3 linked regions of the Alligator mississippiensis genome follow. The protein of the gene in region 2 interacts with the protein of the main gene of each other region in a pairwise test. Links are inferred from orthologs where the notes say so. Each region holds a gene or a part of one and is shown on either strand. Other genes may lie near its edges.

The links.
Region 1: the proteins of LMNA (region 2) and IFFO1 interact in binary tests that used the Homo sapiens proteins (3 or more experiments, as listed by UniProt). The link is inferred for Alligator mississippiensis from reciprocal best matches to the Homo sapiens genes LMNA and IFFO1.
Region 3: the proteins of LMNA (region 2) and BNIP3L interact in a two-hybrid assay, tested with the Homo sapiens proteins (2 studies listed by BioGRID and IntAct). The link is inferred for Alligator mississippiensis from reciprocal best matches to the Homo sapiens genes LMNA and BNIP3L.

What each region holds. Positions count from the first base shown.
Region 1 is NC_081824.1:243,421,971-243,425,718, reverse strand, and holds the start of IFFO1 (non-homologous end joining factor IFFO1), read left to right. Parts: upstream 1-1,535; 5' UTR 1,536-1,596; coding exon 1,597-2,297; intron 2,298-3,748. UniProt on the Homo sapiens protein: Nuclear matrix protein involved in the immobilization of broken DNA ends and the suppression of chromosome translocation during DNA double-strand breaks (DSBs).
Region 2 is NC_081838.1:17,279,363-17,283,110, forward strand, and holds the start of LMNA (lamin), read left to right. Parts: upstream 1-762; 5' UTR 763-855; intron 856-1,583; exon of another isoform or gene 1,584-2,028; 5' UTR 2,029-2,098; intron 2,099-3,748.
Region 3 is NC_081830.1:23,570,423-23,574,170, forward strand, and holds the start of BNIP3L (BCL2/adenovirus E1B 19 kDa protein-interacting protein 3-like), read left to right. Parts: upstream 1-1,116; 5' UTR 1,117-1,213; coding exon 1,214-1,304; intron 1,305-3,748.

The sequences.
Region 1 (3,748 bases), on a different chromosome or scaffold from region 2:
AGAGCATCCCCTGAAAGCACTTGCTGTTTCCCACAGGACCCAATGGCTGCCACACTGGCCCTCACACTATTTTTGTGGGGCTCCAAAAGTAGAAGAATGCTATGAGCATGCACACAAGCCCCTTGGCATCACAAAGGCACATTCTCCAATAGGGGGCTGCTCCTTTGTTCCCCCTGCCACCAGGGGGGCCTGCCAGTGAGAAGGACAGGCTCAATGACAGGCTTTCTTTCCCTCCCTGTCAGCTGTTCCTGGAGTGGAAACAGGTGATGGGGCTACCCACAAGCTGCCTACAAGGCAGGAGCTGATTAGGTCATCTTTGTTACCTGATCAACCCTTGCCAGGACCAGTGGGAATGGATAAAACACCTGCACTGTTACAGTTTGAAGTTCACAGTGCTTCGGTGGGTTGCTGGTGCTCAGTCAGGCCCTGCTGCTGCTGCAGCCTTGTCATCATTGCTGCCTGGCAGGGCCAAAGGCTGATCAGGTAGTTGCCTTGAAGGGGGAGAGGGAGCATGGAGCACTGTGGGACACAGGGGGTCAGACTCAGAGAGACTGCCCAGACCTTACACTTGTCATGGGAAAGCTCCTCACGGCGAAGAAATCGCTTTCTGAAAGAGCAAAGTTTTTGTCACTTTACCTGATATTTGTGCAACATATTGCCCTTCATTTTTAGAAGGGCAAACAGCACAAATGTATAAACATTTGCTTTTTGTCTCACTAAAAAAGTGCTTATAGGGTGACAAGTGTAACATGGGTCATGGGGAATGGAAGCAGACCCTGCAGCCCCAGGGTGGCCTGCTGTCCAGCCCTGTCCCCCTGCACCTTGCTCTCCCCCTTCGGCTCAGAGGCAGGTGGCCTGCCTGGCGATGGATTTGGGTGGTACGCAGGGTGCGTGGGTGCCCCAGGCTCCAAAGGACAGAGTTTGATAATGATAAGCTCTGGTGACCCAGGTGAGGATAAGGAGGCCCTTGCTGCAGGACTTGCCCAAGGTGAGAGGCTGATTGGACCCTCCCCTGCCTCTGCTACAGGGTTCTGTGTGGTGCTGGCCCATTCTTATCTCATTGCCTGGATTGGCTTGGCTTTGTTCCTACCCATTTAGCCTTTGTTTATTTCTCTCTCTTAGCACTGCTCCCTTCCCCTGTGCCCCCATCTCTCTCTCCCTCCTACACCCCTTGTCTTTTGTATTCTAATTTGGCAGTGTAAAAGTGATGTTGTAGATGGTCCAGAAATGTTGCCAGAGGCAAGGATTTCTGAGGGTGGGATCTTTTACTGGACCAATAAAAAAATGTCACCCTAAGAAATCCTTGCCTCTTTTATTCCAATTTGTTCCATACTCTGCTTTCTGGACCTCCTTTCACAGCATCTGATGAAGTGAGTTTCAACCCACAAAAGCTTGTGCTTGCTTGCTCCATCCATCCATCATCTTACTGAGTTGGTCTGTAAGGTGCATATCCTCCCCGCCTTCTGCCTGACGCGGGGCGGGGCGTGCGGAGGGAGGGAGCCGGCGGCTCCGCCCTGCCCCGCCGCAGCCCGGCTGGCGCCGCACCTCCCTCTGCAGCGGCGCCCGCCCCGGGGCACCTGCCGGGCCGCCGCAGCCATGAACCCGCTCTTCGGCCCCAACCTCTTCCTGCTGCAGCAGGAGCAGCAGGGCCTGGCCGAGGCGGAGCCGCTGCTGCAGCCGCTGGCGCTGGCGGGCGAGGCGGCGGCCGGGCCGGACGTGCTGGGCGCGGAGCAGCCGCCGCTGCCGCCGCCGCCCGCGGCCATGGCGCTGCGCAACGACCTGGGCTCCAACATCCACGTGCTGAAGACGCTGAACCTGCGCTTCCGCTGCTTCCTGGCCAAGGTGCACGAGCTGGAGCGCCGCAACCGGCAGCTGGAGAAGCAGCTGCAGCAGGCGCTGGGCCGCCCCGCCGCCGCCGCCGCCCCGCGCCGGGACCAAGCCGTGCAGACCGGCCCCGGCCCCGCGCCGCCCGCCCGTCCCCTCGCGCTGGGGCTGGGCTCGGGCCCCGGCAGCGCCCGGCCCCTGCCCTTCCGCGCCCTGGGCTCGCCCGGCTGCCACCCCGGCGCCCCGCTGCCGCCGCCGCCCGCCGCGCGCCTCCTGCCCGGCACCATCTGGTCCTTCTCGCAGGCGCGCCGGCTCGGGCCCGGCGCCGAGCCCACGCTGCTGCAGGGGCCCGGCGTGTCCTGGGTGCACCCCGACGGCGTAGGCGTGCAGATCGACACCATCACGCCCGAGATCCGCGCCCTCTACAACGTGCTGGCCAAGGTCAAGCGGGAGCGCGATGAGTACAAGCGCAGGTGCGGGGTGGGGTGGGGGTGGCAGGGCTCTCCCCCTTCTCCTTCTCCAGGTCCCTGCCTCCCTGGCACCCAGGGGCTACTGCCTGCTCTTCCCCATCAAGCCCAGAGTGGGTGAATGTGACTCCAGGCACTGGTGCTGTTGGACACCCCCCCCCCCAGTTACTAGCACGGGGGGCTGGCAGGCAATGGGGCTGGAAGGAGAGGGGCAGTGGGTGCAGCTGAGCAGGCTCCTGTGACTCTCCAGTGAGTAGGTGTCGGAGGCAAGGTCTGAGATGCATGGGTTGTCCTGGAGGGTCCCAGTTGCTGGCCTCTGTTTCCCTTCCTCCTGCGGTGCAGACAGGCCAAGCAGCCCTCTGTAGCCTAGTCCCCTGGCAAGTGTGGGGAGCCCTGCAAGGCAAGGGTGATGGATCCAGGGCTTGACTTGTCACCTGGCAGGAGGAGAAACAGCCCCGGTGGCCCCTGGACATTTTGGTTCTGTTCCAAGTTGGCCCTTCCTTTAGTATAACCAAGGTGGCAGGGGCTCTTTTTCAACAGCTGAGCTTTACCTTTTAAAACTGGTGTCTGTAATGAGATTGGTCTAGGGAGTGGCAGGGCCCAAGGCACAGTTGGGTATAATTGGGGCCTGCAGACACTTTAACACCCCCCCCCCATGACCTATTTTTAACATCTTTCCTTTATGACATTTTTGGGAGGTTATTTTTTTAATGTGGCAAAAGGGTTAAGCAAGCAGACAGCATCTGCTCAAAACATGGGCCACTGAACTTCAGCTTCAGCCTCCACTTCAAGAACCAGGCCCACTGAACCAAAAGGCATGAGCCTTTCTCTTCCACTCCGTGGAATGGCAAGGTAGGGTAGGTAGACCCTTCTGTGAAATACCTGCCTGGGGCCCAGGGAAGGTGGGCTGGGCTGGGAACCAGGTAGCAGGGAGTCAGTGCGCCCCTTTCACCAACCGCCTTTTATTTCCCTCCCCCTTCCCCTTCCTGGTTCTTTTCTTGGGGCAGCCAGCTATCATTGCCACCCCCTCCCCCCAGTTGCAGGGTGGAGGACAGCCAATTTGTCCAATACCAGGCCTGCCCAAGGAAAGATGGACTGCAAGTCTCTTTGCCTTTCCAAATGAATCTGACAAAGCTGAAGGGGCAGGGTCTTTAATAGGGATATTTCAGCACCCAGGCCATGGGCAGTGAATGAGATCAGGCCGGCAGGCAGAAAAGAGGCTCCTCCTTGTGGTCCAGGAAAGGCTGGATCCCCAGGAGAGCTGGTGTCTGTACTTGACACTCCATCATCAGCCTGCTGTGCGGTGTTTGGGAGGGTCACACCAATCATTTTAGAGGTTTTGGGGGCCTGCCCTATTTTTTGTGGGATTTAGGAGGATGGACTGACATGTGGTTGGGGTACTTACAGAGGGTTCAGCAGAGGCAACGTGTACACGTGCACCCCCTGAGCATGGTAGT
Region 2 (3,748 bases):
GGAGGGAGGGAGAGGGAAAAAAAAAAGACAGAGGGAAAGAAAGAGACAGAGGGAGAGAGAGAAGCGGCGACCCTCCGCCCACCTCCCCTCCGCCTGGCCAAGCCCCTTTCTCCCTGCCTCTCCCTGTAACCTGAGCTCCGCGCCGAGGTGGATCCCGGCCGCCCCCCCGCCCCGCAGCGCACAAAAGAGCCGGCGGCGGGCGCGGGAGGCAGGGGCAGGGGCAGGGAGGCTGGGGAGAGCCGGAGGGGAGGCAGCGAGAAAGAGAGGGGGAAACTCTTTTGTTTTAAATTCCCTGGCTGCAGCATGAAGCTGACACTCCGGAGGGGACCGGAGGCTGCTGGGGGATGTAGTTTCCCGGCCCGGCGCACACACCCCCTTGGCTGGCGCTCGAGGAGCGGGGAGGGAGGGGAAGGAAGAGCAGGGGAGGAAGGAAAAAGAAGAAAGAAAGAAAGAAAGGGGGAGGAAGGAAGGAAGGGGAAAGGATGAATGAATGAAAAACAGAAAGAAGAAAAAGAAGACAGAAAGAAAGGAAGGAGAAAAGAGGGAAAGAAGAGGAAGGGCAAAGGATGAATGAAAGAAGACAGCAAGAAGGAAGGAAAGGGAGGAAGGAGAAAGAATGAATGAAAAAAGAAGAAGGAAGAACTAAGAAAGGAAGAAAAGAGGAAGGAAGAAAAAGAAGAGAAGAAAGAATGAATGAAAAAAGAAGGAAGAACTAAGAAAGGAAGAAAAGAGGAAGGAAGAAAAAGAAGAGAAGAAAGAATGAATGAAAAAAAAAAAGGAAGGAGGGGAAGAAGAGGCAGGAAGGAAGGAGACAGAAGGAAAGGAAGGAAGAAGAAAGCATGAATGAAGAAGGAGGTTGGATGGATGGATGTAGCCTGGATGGGTGGATAGAGAGAGGAGCTCTCTGCTGCAGATGTAGGGCAGACAGCAAGAGAGGGGGATGGTGGATGGACGGAGAAGGGCGACTTCAGGCGTGGGGTGCACAGACAGATGGAGGCCCGGTGGGATAAGGCACCAGATTGGGACCCTAGAGACCTAGTTACAGACACCGGCCGTCCCGGTGACCTTGGGCAAATCACTTAAGCTCCCGGCATCCCAGTCCCGACAAAATAGGCCCCTAATCCTTGCTGAGGGGGCTGCGCTGGTCAATCCAGTGCCTGGGAGGGATAAATGGGGGGAGGAGCGGGGAAGGGGCCTGCTGCTTGCCCTGTTTTGTGGGGGTGTAAATCCAGAGTGACTCCGTGGAGGGACAGAGTAGGAAGGGGAGGAGGAGGGAAGGGGGGAGGAGATGGAAACCCCCACTTGTTTGCACACCCCGCTCTGGGGTCCGCAGCAGCAGGAGGGGGCAGGGGGGCTGGGCTGCACGTACAGACAAGGCCCCAAAAGGATCAGGCCTGAGATCCCACATCCATCCCTGCCTCCTGGGCCTGCCCCCATGCAGGAGGCTGTGCAGAAGGGGGACTTGGCAGCTCTCCGGCCTGGGGGAAGGGAAGGGAGGGGAGGGGAGGGGAGGGGAGGTAGGGGGGACACCCTCCATGGCAATAACACCTCCCTCTCTCCTCCTTCCAGATCTAGAGATGCTGGGGAGAGAGGCCACTGCTGGGCCCCTCTCCCTTTTCTTATTGAAATGAAGGGCGATGGGGGGAAAGCATTGAAAATAGCTTTTCAGCTCCCAGCCTGCAAGGGTTTCTTCCCTCCCTCCCTCCCCCTTTCTTCCCTTTGAATCGAACCAGATGTCTCTCCCATGAAATGAGATTGCCTGGCTCTTGCTGGAGAGAGACAATGCGGGAAGATGGGAGATCCCCCATCCAGCGCACTCCACTGCAGCCCTGGCAGAGACTGTGTCTGCATCTCTGGCTGGGCGTGAGGGGGGTGTGGGGGCAGAAGGGAGGTTGGTGATAGAAGAAGGAATTTGCTGCCCCTCATCACTGTATTTTCCCCCCCTTTCTCTTTGCTCTCAGCGCTTTGCCAACAAGGTCTTTCTCTCTCTCTCTCTCTCTCTCTCTCTCTCTCTCCTGGGTTTGACAGCAGAAGAGCTCAGCTGGGGAATGAACTCAGCAGCTGCACAAGGAAATGTCTCATACGGTGACTCAACAAGGTAAGGTGTTGCCATCGCTTTCCCTGCAACTTTGCCTGGGCACTTCTGCAGCCTGGCTGGGGGGGCTGCGTTTGGAGCCTGCTCGGTAGTACCCAGTTGGGGCAGCCGCGGTGGCAGCAGACCGCAGGGCACATGCCGGGCTCAGACAGAAAAGGAAAGGAGTCCAGGGTAGGCTGGGATTCTCAGTGTTCAGCAAGCAATCCTTACACCCCCACAAAGTACCGCCAGCCCCCCTGAAGCCGCTGTTGGGGACTTAACCCAGTGGTTCAGACCATGGTTTTCCAACCGTGTTTTGAATTTGGGTTTAACCTTTACGTGCTTGCGTGATCGGTTGTCAAATGCCAGCAGTTTGGAGTGATTTCCTTCCTATAACCAACAGTGGATGTGTGTGCGGTGGCATACACAGAGCAATGTCTCTATAGGCGTAGACAATGCACTTTGTATTTACTAGATGCACATTTGTACTCTAGATGCACATAGGAGTACTCTAGTGACATAGGAGTACTCTAGGTATGTATATGTGAGTTGGTGTGTGCATGTTTAATAAGCATAGACATCTACGCACACGCCGTCTTTCTATGTATATATCTATATAGATATATCTATAGAGAGGTATGTATAAATAGATATAGCTATAGATGTAGATCTATATGTCTATATAGATATATATTACTTATACATACATATGCAGTCTATAATGAAAACTGCCATAGAAACTAAAATCCATATATACAAACACAGGTATATATCTAGACATGTACGTGCATACATACAACATAAACATGTATATGCAGTGCATATGTGTATATCTGAGTACATATATTTGTGTATGTAATTTGCACATATAAGATATGTGCTTATTTATATTTATGTGTGTATGATATATATGTAAATATATTTTACATATATATGTAAGTGTGTGTGTATATATACATATGTATGTGTGTGTGTATACATACACACAGATCTATATATACATGCACAAATATACATAGAGGTGTGTGTATATACACGTGTATATGTATGTAAATGTGTATGTGTGTTTGTATATACATGCACACAGACCTATATATACGCACATGTACAAAAATGTCTATGTACACACGTGTGTAAATATATCTATATGTGTATATGTGTGTTTGTGTATATGTGTACACAGATCTATATATACATGCACACACACATATGTATGTGTATGTGTATATATATGTATATATACACACAGTATGTGTATATATATGTATATATACACACAGTATGTGTATATATACATACTCACATTATATGTATGTATGTATATATACACACAATATATATGTATGTGTGTGTGTGTGTGTGTGTGTGTGTGTGTGTGTGTGTGTGTGTATATATATATATATATATATATATATATATATATATATGCTTATATTTGCATATGTATGTGTATGTGTGAGCACTTACCCCCCCACACACACACGGAGAGAGTATATACATATGTGTGCATATTTCTGTTAAAAGTACCTGTGAGCACACACACGTGGGTGTGTCTAATACACAAGTATATTTATATGTGTGTGCATACATACACATATACATTTATAGTTTTGGGAATTAGTAGCTGAATTTGTGTCTTTGGAAAATAACGTACTTCTAAGTTACAGGACTCAG
Region 3 (3,748 bases), on a different chromosome or scaffold from region 2:
GCTTTTTATGAAATTAGAAGCAGAGTAAATAGATTCCAGTTGCAGCAGTCTGGATCCATCTGTAAGGGTATTAAAACTTGCAGTATAAATGTTTTAGGGTGGGGATGAAGAGAGTAAAAGTACAACTCACATTCTGACACTTTAAGACTGCTGGATTGATGACAGGGAAGGGCTTCAAGTTATGCTGCTTTTGTTCTCCGTCTTCCTCGAATGGAAATGTTTGTAAGTGAAGAGTATAGGAGAAAAGGCAGGCATTGATCTTTCATGGGTATGTCTACATGTTCATTAATGCACCATTACAGTGTATTTAGTTAGTACCTGTTGTTATTAACTTAATGAACTATAATTGGTGTTACTGCGCATTAGTGCAGATGAATGCTTGCTGGTGACACTTAATGTCCATTGGACCAATTCCACTGTGCGCTAGCACAGTTGAATTATTTTTTTGCCAGCCACACTAACGTGCAGTAGAATTAGTCTAATGGGCATTAGGTGTCTTGTGTAGATGTACCACATGGATCACAAGCCGGTGCAGGAGTAAGAAAATCATTTGTTTGAACTGAAGGGGGAGACGGAAAGGTTGATCACCACTGGCTATAAAGGCAGGTAGACGGGGAGGAGTTATTGCCCCTTGCATGTGCACTACATGCTTTTCAGAGGTGCAGGACCCCTTGGAACATGCCTGCTGTTCTGTTTTGCACTATTTTTTTTTTCTTTTAGGTTAAAAAAAAAGAAAAAGCCTAGTTTTTCTTTTGCAAAGAACTGGGGTGATTTCTAGAAATCTCTTACGTTTCCCTTGAGCTTTGCACTGCTCTGGCCTGTATCCTCCTTGCAGGGAAAACACTGCACCAGGGCCCAGAGCAGACAGCCTGGGTCTAAGCCCCGCCCCCTCCCCTTTCTCTTGCCTATTCGGATCTGAGCTGGGGGTGTTGTCCCTCACCCCATGCGACGCATGCGCAGTGAGACTCCTGCCGATTAGCGCTTGCATGCTGCCGGGCGCCTGTCCTGGCGTGACTGGATGGCACAGCACATGCGCAGTTTCATGCCATGACGCGCACGGCGTCCCGGCGCCTGCGCGGTTGGCAGGGGCGGGGCTTCCCAGCTGTGCCTGCGCTGTGGAGGGAGGCGGGGTTGCTGGAGCCGAGCGGGTTCCGGCTTGTTGTTGTCCCGAGCCCAGAGGCTTCCCAGCTGCTGCTGCCGACGCCGCGCCGCCATGTCCTGTCCCCAGCAGCCGCCGCAGCACCAGCACCACCACAACAACAACCCGCCGGCCGAGGGCACCCCCGCCGAGCCGGGCCTCAACAGTGAGTGCGGCCCGTGTTAGCATATGTAAATATAATTTAAATGAGGAGGGGGCTGCGGGCCAGGCGACCCCCCCACCCTCCCTTCGGGGTTGGGATTGGTAGAGATCGCTGCCGCGCGAGTGCTGCGGACCAATCCGCGGGGACCCTAACGGCTGCTCCCCCTGAGGGGGCCTTAAACAGCGGGGGGCAGCTCAGGAGCTACAGGGGGGAGGGCCCGGGGCAGTGGCGGGGCCGTCTGGGGCACCAAAAGTGGGCGCAGGGAGGTGCGGGGCAACGGTAATGGGTGGGGGGAGAGGATGGGCAGGGTCCTGCAGCTGGCGGCGCCTGGGGGAGTCAGTCCTGTTCCCTGACCCAGGCTCTGAGTCCCCATATCCCTGACTGAGCTGGTTTCCCCTAGGTCCAGGGTATGTGTCAGCGGCTTTGCTGCATCCTTTTGTTCCCAGGATAACGTTGGCGTGGCACGTTCCTGGGGGCTGTAGCACCTCCGGCTTGTCCCTGGGGTGTGTGCTCATGTTCTCGTGAGAGCCGTCCAAGGGCTCTCATGAATAAGACACGTTCCTTGCTAGCTGTTGCTTCTGTCAGGCTTTTGCAGTGAAATTAAGGGCATGGATGAGATCAGAGCAACCTCTGTCTCTTGGTATGGTTTCCACTGGGTTGAGGTGACATCAGGTGTTGCTATAATTAACCAGTTTCACTGACAACAGGCTTCTCTGTCCTGTTGGAATTACCTTGCTGCACAAAAAAGAAAGAAAACCCACGCGGAGGGACCCTGTAGGCAACTTGTGCCTTGTGCCACCATGGAAGTCGATAGCACTTCATGCAGGGTTGACTCGGGGGGGATCTCGTCGCAGTATTGGCCCGCAAAGTCTTAGTGAAATCAGCGTGCTTGTTCAAGGTGGCAAACAAAATATGCAGTAGAAACTGTTTGCAAAGCAGGTGCGGCCGATCATCCTGGGGAAGGTTCAGTCACACTTAGCAGGAGTTCAGCCTTTCTGTTAGCCTATGAACGTGTCGCTGAGTTTTGTCAGGATAAAAAATTTATGCTCTTATTTATTTTTGTCGGAATACATGGTTTGCCTTTCTTCAGTGCTTTCCATTCAGAGCGCTTTACGCAGAGTGAAGGTCATGCTACAGAAGTAAAAGACCTGGGAAGGGGACTCGGAAATCCTATCTTCCAGTCTAGTGTCTGTCCACAGGAATGGGCTCCCTCTGATTTTCTTAGCGGTCTTGCTTTTCTTGTGAATCTTACTTCATTTTGTTCTGTGTTGGGGGCAAATAATAATTGCAAATGCTTTCCAGTTAGTTTTTTCTTTTTCTTTTTTTTTTTTTTGGCAATGCACACTGCATTCCTGAGGAATAAAATATTAAGTTAGGGTTCTCTGTAAAATTGTACCTTTTTCACATGAGAAATGGGTTAGAATATGTTGTTATAGTTAAGTACATATGAAAATTAACAACCATTGCTGACTAGCCAGGGACAGTAGGTACTTCACAATTACTGCTATATCATTCTGGCCATTGTGCTGTAGAAGGGGAACAAAAAACCCCAATGGTGCCAGAGAAATCTGCAAGACAGAAAGCATTACTGTGGGAAATGAAAAAGCTTTTGTGATAATGATGTATTTCATTACAGGTGTGGGGTTCCTTAACTTGTTTGCTTCTGAGCATGACTCAAAATGCATTGTTTATTACGCACCACTAGTTTGGAGCAAAGAAGCCTCCTTGGTTTTTTAACTGAAATCAGACACTGACCAAACAAACTGCCAAAGGAGGACTTGAGCATTTAGCTAGCACTGTTTGAAAAGTATACAGGTTATGGAAGAATCCATAGATAATGTGAGTTTGTGAAGAAATCCATTAAATTCCTTACCTTGTAGAAGCTTCTGTGCCTGCATAATGGCAATGAGCCAGAAGATATAGTTGTTGCTGTTTCAGATTTCAGTTTAGGAAAACTTGCCTTTCAGTTGATTTAAAAATACTGTATGAAATAGAAGTTAAACCCCAATCCTGCGGTCAGCTTTCTATAGGCAGATCTCCGTTCCCACCTGGAATCCCTCTGACTTCAGCAGGGCTCTGGGCTGAGTCACTTGGAGAAACTGGGACTCATCATTAATAAAGCCGATTTAGTTTGGTAATAAACCAGTGTCCAGGTAGCTGGAAGCAGTGTTTTCAAAAAAGCCTGCATTTAAAAAGTAGTCTGGATTGTGGTCTAATTTGACAGAAGCAAGGTGCTCATGGGAGAGTAGCAAATTATGATGCTTATGTCTGCTTCAGCTCCTAATGCACCTTTGTATGTTTATCAGAAATCAAGGGGATGATCTCCACATGTGTAAGAGCTGTGTTTAAAAGGGACGCTGTTATTAAAGTTTCAAGCACTTTGGTTTAGAGAACATTGTGAAGATTCTGTACCAGCGTGGATTTGATTTAAATTGCTGGTCAGGAAG